3 linked regions of the Drosophila melanogaster genome follow. The protein of the gene in region 2 interacts with the protein of the main gene of each other region in a pairwise test. Each region holds a gene or a part of one and is shown on either strand. Other genes may lie near its edges.

What was found.
Region 1: the proteins of Trs33 (region 2) and CG43325 interact in a two-hybrid assay, tested with the Drosophila melanogaster proteins (2 studies listed by BioGRID).
Region 3: the proteins of Trs33 (region 2) and CG5160 interact in a two-hybrid assay, tested with the Drosophila melanogaster proteins (2 studies listed by BioGRID).

What each region holds. Positions count from the first base shown.
Region 1 is NT_033778.4:22,654,950-22,658,969, forward strand, and holds CG43325 (uncharacterized protein), read right to left. Parts: upstream 2,050-4,020; 5' UTR 2,030-2,049; coding exon 1,668-2,029; intron 1,548-1,667; exon of another isoform or gene 1,516-1,547; coding exon 1,404-1,515; 3' UTR 1,125-1,403; coding exon of another isoform or gene 874-1,124; exon of another isoform or gene 805-873; coding exon of another isoform or gene 684-804; 3' UTR 600-683; downstream 1-599. Other genes in the region: CG30196 (uncharacterized protein), read right to left, coding at 1-132, 225-421; CG43326 (uncharacterized protein), read right to left, coding at 684-804, 874-1,124; CG13510 (uncharacterized protein), read left to right, coding at 3,040-3,326, 3,974-4,020.
Region 2 is NT_033777.3:15,349,775-15,352,681, reverse strand, and holds Trs33 (TRAPP subunit 33), read left to right. Parts: upstream 1-1,686; 5' UTR 1,687-1,761; coding exon 1,762-1,830; intron 1,831-1,898; coding exon 1,899-2,288; 3' UTR 2,289-2,337; downstream 2,338-2,907. Other genes in the region: Tmtc4 (transmembrane O-mannosyltransferase targeting cadherins 4), read right to left, coding at 1-1,331; CG42727 (uncharacterized protein), read right to left, coding at 2,344-2,907.
Region 3 is NT_033779.5:7,395,733-7,400,798, forward strand, and holds the start of CG5160 (uncharacterized protein), read right to left. Parts: upstream 3,019-5,066; 5' UTR 2,506-3,018; intron 1-2,505.

The sequences.
Region 1 (4,020 bases), on a different chromosome or scaffold from region 2:
TCCACCTCTCCCCGTTGCAGCCGAAAGAGGGTCCTCTTGTACCAACTCAGAGTGATATCGCGTCCAATGAAACAGCCACATGAGCTGCAGTAGTGATTGACATCATGACGGCCCTTCCAGCGAATGGGATTACTAGAGGATAAAGGACAGATTAGGTATTGGGGCTCGGATCAAACTGTCACAACCAATAAAGAAATTCATCTTCTTTTCAAAACTTAACGCACCAGCAGAGAAGCACATTCAGCGAGCAGGCAATCTTCTGCAGAACGGTCACTGCCTCCGATTTCACGTGGGTAGTCTGCAACTGCTGGCAGGCTGGACACTCCAACTCCTGGGGCTCAGTGGTCAGATGGCCCACTTGCGGAATGGATGAGATGTCCCCCTCGAAGGCACTGCCATCCAGACTCTCGGTGCTGGCCATTTCGAAGCGATAGAGCAACTGACCGATGAACCAAGAACGTTCGCATAATGTATCTGTATCTGCATTGGAGCCCACATCGCAATCAAAATATCTAAGAGCGTGCCAGAGAGTGGGAGAGATGAATACATACTTTTTGGAGGCACCGCCTGAGTGATGATCGAATAAATTCAAGTAACTTATTAAAAAAAATTTGACAACAGCTGCCGGTTTATTTATAGATCATTTGCGTGGATTTCAGAGAGCCATCTGAGTGGCAGACGCACTAAGTGGGACGCCAGTGGAAGCCCAGGTGACCACCGCATCGGCTGCAGAAGACACGCTTCGATTTCAGGCGACTTTGCAGACAGGAATAGACGAACGTCAAAGCAAAGATGGGAAAGCAACTGAAAGGAGATTTAAACGAATGTTAATCCATGGACTTAGATTCCTTTCCGAATTCCGAAGTTTCCTACCAGGATAAAGTGGACAAGAGGCAACTGAGCTGGCCCAGTGCTCCTGTCATCTCCACGGTTTCCGTTTTCGAATTCTGCTGGCACAATGGACACCGCACCTGGTAGCTGCTGGGTCCGATGCTGAAGAATCGCACCTGGGGTTTGCTAGGGCGCTCCTCCAGCGTGACAGTGGTGGCCGCCGACTGGCTATCCCTGTCCCCCTCCTGGAGATCCACCTCCAGATCCGCATCCAAGTCGTTTCCCCGAGACATTGCGACTGGCCGGCGTCAAGTGCTAAACATTTTGGCGAATCCCGAGGCAGTGAAATTCGAAAAAGAGATCTATCTGACCAAAGAGATCTAATTGAAGAGAAACCACTGAGAGAATCATGCAGCAATCAACAATTTTTTGGCACTCGGCTCTTCAGTCTCAGCAGCGCTCATCACTCGCCGCAAGGTCAACAAAAAGTGCTTAAAAACTAAACAAAACAAACAATTATAAGCGGAGCACCCACTCCGTTTGCCCCAACCCACGACCCCCATCCCTTCATCTCACTGTCTTTTCCATGCCCCCAAGAGGTAACCACACTTGCCGCAGATGACCTTGCAATCGTTGGTGGAGCGCCTCGGGCAGCAGGGATAGATGGGCAGCAGGGCAAAGCAGCTGGAAATGGATAAGGAAATAATCTGAATTAGAAATATAAATACTTCCGATCTTTGTTATTATCCTAATAGCCCTATACTACGATTAAATAATCTTATTTATATTCCATCCTAAGAATTTACTTTAAAGAAATGTCCTGGCCTTGCACTCACCACATGGTAAGGAGTCGCTCCAGGCGGACTCCCTGCTCGTGCAATCGCTCGTGGCACTCCGGACAGTACATCTGGCGGAGGCAACTAATGTTGGTGGCAGCGGGCGGCGGAGGTGATACCTTCTCGGCCAGTTGGCCTGTGGAGTTGCTCTTCCGGCAGAAGTAGGTATCCGGCTCGGAGTCCTCGGCATAGCCGTAGGGATAGCCTCTGTGTGGGGGCGTGGCCAGGAGCAGCTGGTCCAAGGCCTGAGCCGACTTCTGCTTGACCTGGCCGCAGTTGGGGTTCAGGTTAATCTCCACCAGATCCGCTGCGAACTCCTCGTCGTCGGGAGCTTGAAGGTGGAACTTTAGCTGACGGCTCATGTTGTTGAACTGACTCGACTCGGGTTTTCTATTTGCCTATAAATTGGGTTATTTTACAATTGAAACATAAGAAACATAAGTCAAACAGCTATCGCTTGGCGAGGGGGATTTATTATTATATTTTTTGGGCTGAGGGGGGAGTTAGACAAACCAGTTGTTCATCTGTTTGTCAAGCCCCCGTATTTGCCTAACACTATTTTCATGGTTGCGATGTTAACGGCTGCACTTGAACGTAGATCCCATGAGGAAAGCTTCCACAAAGCTGCCGGCGAGTGGGTGGTAAATGGAGCTTTTTCTATAAAAAATATACACAGTTATCTTAACCCATTGAAGATCGAAGTCTGTTTTTATTTTGACTTGAATAATTAAGACATTTCATAAGGTTTTTCAGGAAATAGTATCAAGCACGGAAAATATATATATTATTTTTAATCACAAATTAAGCAAGTTACACATTAATATCCAATATCCAATAAATAATTAAAAAAAATAAAGGCTTCACAAATGGAATGATGATGCTTCAACTGGCAAAGAATCATATCTACATATGTACATATATATAAACCGGTCACGCATTTGGTAAATTACAAAAATATTATATTATGGCGAGAGCACTCGAGTCGACAACCTGTGTTTGTTTATACTCTCTCCTCGCAAAATACACGTACTAAATGTTACATATGTATATTTTGGCCTTATTCATTGCCTTTATATGCAATAAAGGTGTTATCAAACAAGTGACTCATCTGTCGCCTATTCGGAGGAGAAGCATCGCTGTAGCTCACTAAATCAAGTGCACAATAAAAGAGGTATCCGATTATTAGTTCGACAGAAACCCCACTTGTATGGTAGCTATCACCTCTCGACGATAAGATAGTAGCCAATCGTTGAGGTATTGCGGGAGCCACAGTTTAAGTTCGTTCCTCAGTGCAACGCCAGCCAGCAAAGCGATCGGTTCAGTTCGGCCGGAAATCCAGAGTCTGCATCAAGAAGAAACATAATCCGAAACTATGGACAGCAAGCAGCCTCCACCGTACAGTGAACAGTCCGGATACACTCCCGCACAAACCTATCAGCCCGGTGGCCCCACCCAGCCACCACTGTACCCACCGATGCCGCAGCCACCGCAGTCCTCAACGGTGATCATCCAGACCACCACAACCTCCAACCTGGTGCCCATCGGCAGTGGACCCACCCGCATCCGCTGTCCCTCCTGTCACGCCGAAGTACTGACCACCGTGAAGTCCACTCCTTCCGGCAGGACGCACTGCTGGGCCCTCATCCTGTGCCTGTTCATGTGAGTCTTATAGTCACTAGTCATCTGATCTGAAGTCACTGCTTGCCACCATATGTATGTATGTATGTTGATTGGTCTCAGGAGCTTTGGGCCAACGAAAGTATCTTAGGGGGGACTTAGTGCTTCATTAATCCAGTCAAATGACCTTTTTATAAAATTGCGCAAAATGGAGTAAACCATTTTTAAAAGCAATACAAATCGGATATGTTGCCTATTAAATTCAGTAATATACATAGATGATATGATATCCTATAGATGATATCCTAACAATCTAGATATGTTTTCGTATCGCCCAAGCAGAAATGTTCTATAACCATTTTATTGCCAACTCGTTACAATAGCTCGGTTAAATGTTAAAAAGCTACGCCCATGAACCACTTGCGGCCCCTTATCGCTTGGAAAAAACAATAGGTTTCTACAGGTATTGCGACTGTGTGTACTGGTAATATGTGAAAACATTGTTATCTCAACTGGAACTGGAGTTGAGTCAGATAACGAATCCGAGTGGAAAGACGGGGTGAAAGCAAGCAAACTGACTGATTACGGCCTGTAGACGTCGTAAAGGCCAATTCGGAATTAGTGCTCTGACTAATAGTTTAATTCCCCGAACTTATCTAATCGATTCGTTTTCCACTCTATCCACACAGCTGCTGGCCGTGCGTATGCCTACCTTACTGCATGGACTCCTGCCAGA
Region 2 (2,907 bases):
GCATTGTCAGGACACACCTGTAGCGCGGACTTGAACAACTGCTCCTCGTTAAGCCAGTCAGTAGCTCGCTGCCGAGTCCGTACCATCATAACCGAAAAGAGCAGCATTAAAAGAATCCGTAGAGCAGTGCGCCAGTGGGTGTTTTCCGTACTGCTGTCATACCAATATAAGAATCCATAGATGGACAGCAGGCAAAAGCCAATGGAGGGTACATAGAGCGTCCGTTCGGCAATCACGAATCCTACGCAAATGATTCCCGACGCGGGCAGGAACGGGACGATCATTAAACCCAGAGCTAACATCATTCCGGGCAGCCGTCGGAAGTTCATCAGAGCCACCAATACGATGGAGTAGAATCCGATGACGCCCTGCAGTCTCAGATCCCAGATGTTGGTCACCAACTTGACGCAACCCAATGCCCAGTCGTAGCATAGCCAGTGGGGGCACAGCATCAGCCAGATGTTCATGACCAGCAGATACTGCTGGGAGAGCCCACGGGTCAGCACGTGCTCATTGTGCGCAACGGGGTTGTCAACTTCCTTGAAGGTAGGCGTCTCAAAGTCCTGCCACCAAAGGCGAGCCGTCAGCAGACCCAAGGTACCCAGCAAGTAGAACAAGTAGCTGATCCGGGTGCGCAAAAGACTCCACTGATCCTTGAATCGCAGATGATAGTAGCCGTTTTGAAAGTAATCCAATAGTACACACGACATGGGGATGGTCACAGCGGACTCCTTGAACAGCATTCCCACAGCGGTGAGCAGCATGATTAGACCGCCAGTCTGTGGACCAAGTCTTCCGGTATTGGCCACGGTCAGCAGAAGACACAACAAGTGAATCATGCCGAACATGAGCTCGGCCCTTCCAACCACACCAGAAACCGCCTCTGTGTGAATTGGATGGGCGGCAAATAGAGCAGCGGAGAGGATGGCCCATCTTGCCGTGCTGACCTCCGGAACATAGAGAGAGCGAATCAATCGCCACATGAGCAGCGTGTTGACGCAGTGTAGCAGGAGGTTTAGGAACTTCATGTGGGCGGCACTTAGCCCCAGAAGGGCATACTCGCAATGGAACATCAGGGTGGTCAGTGGCCGAAATGATTTGTGGGAATCGGAACTGAGCAAGGAAGCACCCCAGAAGTCGTGCGTGAAGATCGCCGTCCAGTTGGTGGGCAGTGAGTTGACATCCCGGTTCTTGACGATGGCCACCGTATCATCGAAGACAAACTTCGCTCCACTGAGGCCACCGCATCCGTAGCATAGCAAACAGATTAACACTAGGATTGCCTGACAGACCATGCTATGCAGCGTGGCTTTGTGAACGAGGTCTAGCATACTGGATTATTTACTAATTGTCAATTGTTCAAGTTTAATTCACTTATTCTGCGAATTTTAATCGGAATTGTTTTGTATACATTTTTTGTTGTGTTTTTGTCCAAACACCCCCTCACTGAATAGTGATGCCAGATCAGCGATAGAAATGTGTGCAGCTTAGCTAAATATATGCATCGAAAAATATATGGTTATAAAATGATTTGAAATTACGCTAAATAGATCTATCAAATCTGCTCATTTTAGAGTATTCATATTAAAATAATTATACATACTCTTGATATTAAAGTATAAATAATAGTAATAACAATAAACCACTAAAAGCAAACAAGACATTCGCCCGTTAACGCTTGCAACAGCTGTTTAAATCTAGATCAAAACAAATCCGAGGAAAAATTTGTTGAACTCACAAAGAAAAATTAAATCCTCGAAAATGTCTGAAGAAATCCTTTTCGATTGCCTCCATGCAGAGATAGTCAATTATTGTCTGGATAGCAATAAGGTAGGAACACGAGGGACGCAAAAAAAAATCAGTCATACAACCGATTTTGATTTGGTTCCGCCTATTAGGAGCACGACCTGGCCACTTTGGAGTATATAGGCTTCACCACCGGCTACCGCCTGATTGAGCGGCTCACCCGTGAAGTTTCGCGTTTTAAGGACGAGTTGGAGACTATGAAGTTTATATGCACCGACTTCTGGATGCTTATATACAAGAAGCAAGTGGACAACCTGAGGACGAACAACCACGGAATGTACGTTGTGCAGGACAAGGCTTTCCGCTTTCTGACTCGCATCTCGCCGGGCACCAAGCAGCTGGAGCACGCGCCCAAGTTCGTGGCCTTCACGTGCGGGCTGGTGCGAGGAGCTCTCAGCAATCTAGGCATTAACAGCACCGTGACGGCCGAAGTGCAAAGCATACCCGCCTGCAAGTTTCACATAGAAGTGAACAGGAACTAATTAGGATGTAAGGCAATGGTTTATTACTACAATTATAGAGATACTACAGACTAGACTAGGCTATCTTTTCGTAGAATGCCACAATGTTGTGGTCAGTCCAGTTAAGGCGTTCTCGCAGGATCCACTGGTCGATGGGCAGTTGGGGCTGGGCGGGATTGGGATCTGTGTGGATTCCCAGGGCGGGCAATGGTCCAATCAATATAAGCCACTTTCCTTGATACACATTTAGATAGTCCAGAAAAGCTCCTCGATTGTTGAAGTAGCAGAAGAGCAAGGCACACGGATGAACGTCACTGCAGCATTTGGTCAATAAATCCGTATCCAGTTGGCTGGCATCCTCTAAATAGTTAAGCGGTATAAAACTTCGAACGGAGTACTTGCTCTGCCACCAGTTGCGATCGACCTCCAAGCCAAACATGGGGACTTTCCGACCTCCAGACACTGTCATAAGCCATTCCAAAAGCCCACTGCCGCAGCCGATGCTCAAAACTCGCTGGATGTCGTGCATGGCTAGCAGCTGATTAAAGTAGTCCAAGTCCACCGATGTCGGCCACATCCAGAGCAGCTTGCGCTTGAGCTGTTGGTCCAGGCAGTCGCCCAGGACAAGCAACTTGCGCCA
Region 3 (5,066 bases), on a different chromosome or scaffold from region 2:
GCTAAGGTCATGGGAAGTGCGCCACTTGCCATCCGACCCATTGTCGATGACTGGAGTTGCCCACTCCACGCAGTCTCGATGCCCCTGCCCTGACCACTTTTTCCGTGTTTTTTTGCTTGTCATTTCATTTCGGTATCGAGCAGCCAGTTAACATTAACGAAATGTGCACACGAAGAAATATTATTGACCAAGATCGAAAATTAATAATTCATCATAAGTTTTTAGCCATTTCTTATACCAACTTTCGTTTTAAAATGTGTGTTTTCAAATGATATTTATTTGAAAGTAAATACAAATGTAATTATTTATTATTTATAATTTTTTAATCAACTGACTTTGTTGTGAGATTTTCTTTCACTGTGCAATAACAGCGAATGTTGCCATTGGTTTTTCTCTCACTCAGTCAGTCAGTTTGTTTTGCTGCGCGTCCCTGAAATTGAAAATGCGTAAAATTGTCGAAGTTGGCGGTCAACTTCCACACATAAGTATTCACCTTGAGTGGAGCTTAAATGTATATAAAAATAAATCTACGCAAAGAAATTCATTTCTTTCCATTGTTAGGGAACCATAGTCGCAGACATTGGTAAATCAGTCCCATAAATAATACAAGTCAAGCGTCATAAATGTTATTTTAGTTAGGCTCATACGGGTGATTTTTTGCTGACTAAGCACCACTTAAATAAACATAGACATGGTTTGTTTTTACCGGGAAAAAGGGGCAAACCAACAAGTTGAAAAGGGTGAAAGGATTACAAGGAAATGGGATGAAGGACAAATACTAAACTGTTTAAGGCCGTTTGATATATGAGATGATGGTTAAGCGAGGAAGAGTTTTAAAACGAGCTAAAACTTTAATCGCAATTTAATGAGCAAACCAGGATAAATTTTAAGAAATTAATTGCTCTTCTTGTATTAAAGTATCCAAAGTATTCAAAGTATCATCCATCGCACAGCATTAATATCAAATATGGCAGTCTTTTATCTGCTTATTTCCATTTCAATATAAATTCGGTTTCCTCATAAATATCAATGGAATTTATGAGGACGAACGGAGGACCCACAAATTGAAAAAGTCTCTTTAGTCTCAGACATTCCTTGCCACACATTTGCCACTTGTCGTAGGCTGAGATGCAAAATATCAATAACTCAGAGAGCCCCCCATAACATGTTATAACCCATCCCCTAACCCTCTATATCCCAACCCAGCCCTTAACTTGATTCCAGCTTTCTGGTCTTTATGATCCCCATCCTCATAAAATTCCCATGCACTTGTCGTACCCACTCATTGTGCCAGTTGTTCGGAACGATGAATTACATTCGATACCCTAGATGTAGAGGGCTCTATTGGTTTTGTGAACGAAATGGCTTCTTGCAAGACTTCACGAACGATTTTCTATAAATATATCTCATAATATCTCTGTGTATCTCATAACTTTTTATAGATTTAGAAGTGATTCCAAATAATCATTTCACTTGATGACATAGGGTACCTGATAGCTCGATCTACCGTATAATAATTTTTCGATTATATTATTCTGTGGCTATGGCGTTTGTCATCGTTTGCTACTGTCTCCGCTCGAGTCTGCGGTCTTCTGGCAATAAAACGCTTTTGTTTGTGGCTTTATGCCCCGCGCCACAAAGTAAGGTGCAGGGGCAGATATTGGGCGCTATTAACTAGTCAGCTTGTGGGTATGGTAGATGTGGCAGTTAGCGGGGCAAGGTGCTAAGGCCCCTGATTATGTTTTGTTGATATAATAAATCTTGTTGCGCCGTAAACACCTTTTCCTGACCCAAACGCCCAAATGAGATTTCAGATAACGCATGGTGGACGTGGTCGAATAGAACAGAATTTGCATTTCACTTTTGCACAGACAAGCTGGCGACCTTGCCGCCAAATTTAAAACATATCAAACAAGCAAATCAAAAACAGACATGCCAAGATGGAGAGGCGCACCGCAATTTGTTTTATTTCTGAAACCATTTCAAAGTCAAACAGTTTTGCACAAGACTCTTTTTTTTGGCGGAAGTAGCAGCAATCAAAGCCAATTAAAATGATTTACAAATCAAGAGAATCGAGAAATATACATGTTCAGAAAGCCATCAGGTGAAAAGTTATCGCTAATTTCGAGTCTCAAGTCAAGGTCGACTGGAGCAGCAAAAATAATCGAGCATAGGCGGAATCAAAGGGGCTTTCAAATAAACAGGCATTCTCATCGTTTAGCACATAAATTCAGTTGGCTTTAGTTTCATATAACAATTTGAGCAAAAATATTGTTAGAAAAAACGCCCCCAATAACGCCCTTTTCGGCGCCTCTGAGGCAGACATAAATGTTTACAAATCGAACAAGAACTAGAAACAAGCAGAAATATTTTACTTTTGATTTAATTTATTGTGTATTTTTGAAATGCTCTGTATGGAACATTTTTGAAACAAAGTTCTCATCGTTTTGATTGCCATAAATTTGGTATTTTTATTTAGTTGTAACAATAATTAAGTATACGCACCGTTGGGCGAAACAAGTTTATGTTTTCCGCAAAACTGTATTGTTTTGCTAGATTTTCATTTTGTATTCGAATTACAATAGTTTCACGAGTCGCGCTGCTTTAAATTTAATATTTTTTGATTTATTTTTTTGGCGAGTTGTTGACACTTCAGCTTCCTGTTTGCTATTAAGCCGCTGGCTCGCAGCAATTATGCTTTTATATATCCAACTAGTACCGCCGCCGATGCCATCGAAGTGGCTTTATTGCGACGCAGTGCCGACCGATGCGTTGCCATTGTGAGGCAATAATATAAAACACCACCCACTTTTCCGCCGCCTTGCCACCTTTGCAGCGGTGTCGTCAAAGTGCTGACGATATGTGGACAAATGTAAAATGCAAAAGAGTTCGCAAAGGAGGTCCACTACATCCAATATCCACGTCCACCCACCGACACGCGACTCCAAACCGGTATCCCCAATATGCGGCACAATTCTCGACCGAAGTTTTTCCTCTGCGACCGCGACGCGTCGCATCTGCTGCGCTGCCGTTGCTTGAATGAAATCAACGAAAGCGCGCCAAACACAAAAGTGTTGCCAGCAACATGCTGTGTTGCCAGACACAAATGTTGCCAGCAGCCATGTTGCTAACAAATATAAATTACAAGTAAATGTAAAAACTTAATGGTAATGGATGATTTTAATAATTAAGTAAGAAATGAGCATTTAAAAGTTTTTTCAATTTTCATTGCTCTTTCTTTTTGCAGCATTCACCATCTACTTCGACCGGAAGTTTCAAAGAGCCAATTTGAATCCGGATGTGTCGAAGACGCAATTATTTGCAAACCGGATGATAAAAATAAATCGAAGCACAGCCAATTCATTTTAACTGCGTTTTTTTTTTTTGGCAAAAATGTATTTTTATCTTACGCATCAATAAATGTTTACTTACATGTAGCTTTGATTTTATTTCATAGAACTGTGATATCCTTTAAAAATCCTCGGATACTCTCCAGTGCATTTTGATTTTCTACTTCTGGCAACGCCAAAAAAAGCATTCAAAATGCATTGAATTTAAGCATGGCTAAAGCTTAATAAAGATAGCAAACATTTTTTATATAAAGTTTCTCGGAAAATATAGATATATGATGATCAAATATGCTTATCAAAAATGTTACAGGGTTATTTAGAATTCATGCAACTATTTCAGTATCAGTCTTTTCAAAAAGTTCATCCCAAGTGGTTGTACACCATGCTCAAACCGATAAGAATCTTGTTGTGCGCATTTATGGTCCTGGAACTTCTAGGATTTCCGACTGGAGCCCAGAGTAATGCATCATGTCCATTATCCGATCCTCCGAGTCAGTGCAGCGCCTTCTGTGTATCCGCACTACAGCCAGTTATCGATCACCTTAGAAAGGATCTAAAGGATTGGGGCAGCTGCGATGTGAAACTAAACGAAACGCAGGAAAAACTACAGCGCATTGAGTTGGCGGCGAATGAGATACTTTCCGGAACCCAGTTCATTTTCCATTTGTCAAATATGACGCACACTGTTTCAGAGGATCTCGCGGAAAGACTGGACAGGATTGAAGGCAATCAGGCAGTCCTAGGAAGTCAGCTGCAAGCGATAATGAACAGTACGGAAGTCAAACTAACAGCAATGCGGAACATCTTATCCAAACTAGAGCGCAGATCCATGCTGCAAAGCTATCGAGGAAACGAAGGACAACGGAAACGATCTAGCTATCTACCATAAAATGGATGATTAATTGCAACCTTTTAAACTATTCAAATATAAAATAATACAACAATTAAATGAACTATGTTATCAGGCAGAATACTATAATTACATAGTATATATATGCACTCTATGTAAACAATTCAGATTAAAAATGATTTGCATACGTAAACTTGTCCCAAAATTTCTCTCAACCTTGGCAACAATGTTGCCAACGAATGATGTAGGCCTATTCCTGTAGCCACACTCCCGCTACAAACATTCTCCCTCCACAGGAGGCAATTGAATTTCGGTTTCTGGCCAGCTGACCTTCACTTAACATTATAAGCGAGAAACCAAACAAACAGAAAACAAACATTTTCCATGTAATTGGCAATAGACCATGCCCTAATGCTAGGCCAAACACAACGCCCACACACACGCGCGGTGCGGAAAATGTTTACACGCCTCGCCAAGTGGAGAAACCTCCAACCATACAAGTAGATAGAGTCCTAAACCCCCCTTCTATCGGTGTGCATATGCAGGGTGTGAGATGTGGCAACCTGTTGACATCGAAACGCCTTGTGGCACGTCCACTAATTGCTTCTGACAGAGGCAACAGGTTGAATTTAGCCAGTCGAGCTGAGCATTAATTTTGACCAACGTAAACGCCATACGCTCGACTGCCCTGGGCTCCAAGGCCCACGCCCTTTGACCCAAACCACCCTGATTTTCGGCTGATTTATGTGTCCAACCTAAGCCTTTGCCCCCCGACCTTTCAACCCCATCCGCATGTCAAGCCTACCTGTCACTTTGAATTCTTGTTGTTTACGGGTTAAGGACGCAAAGGTGTGAAAAACAACACC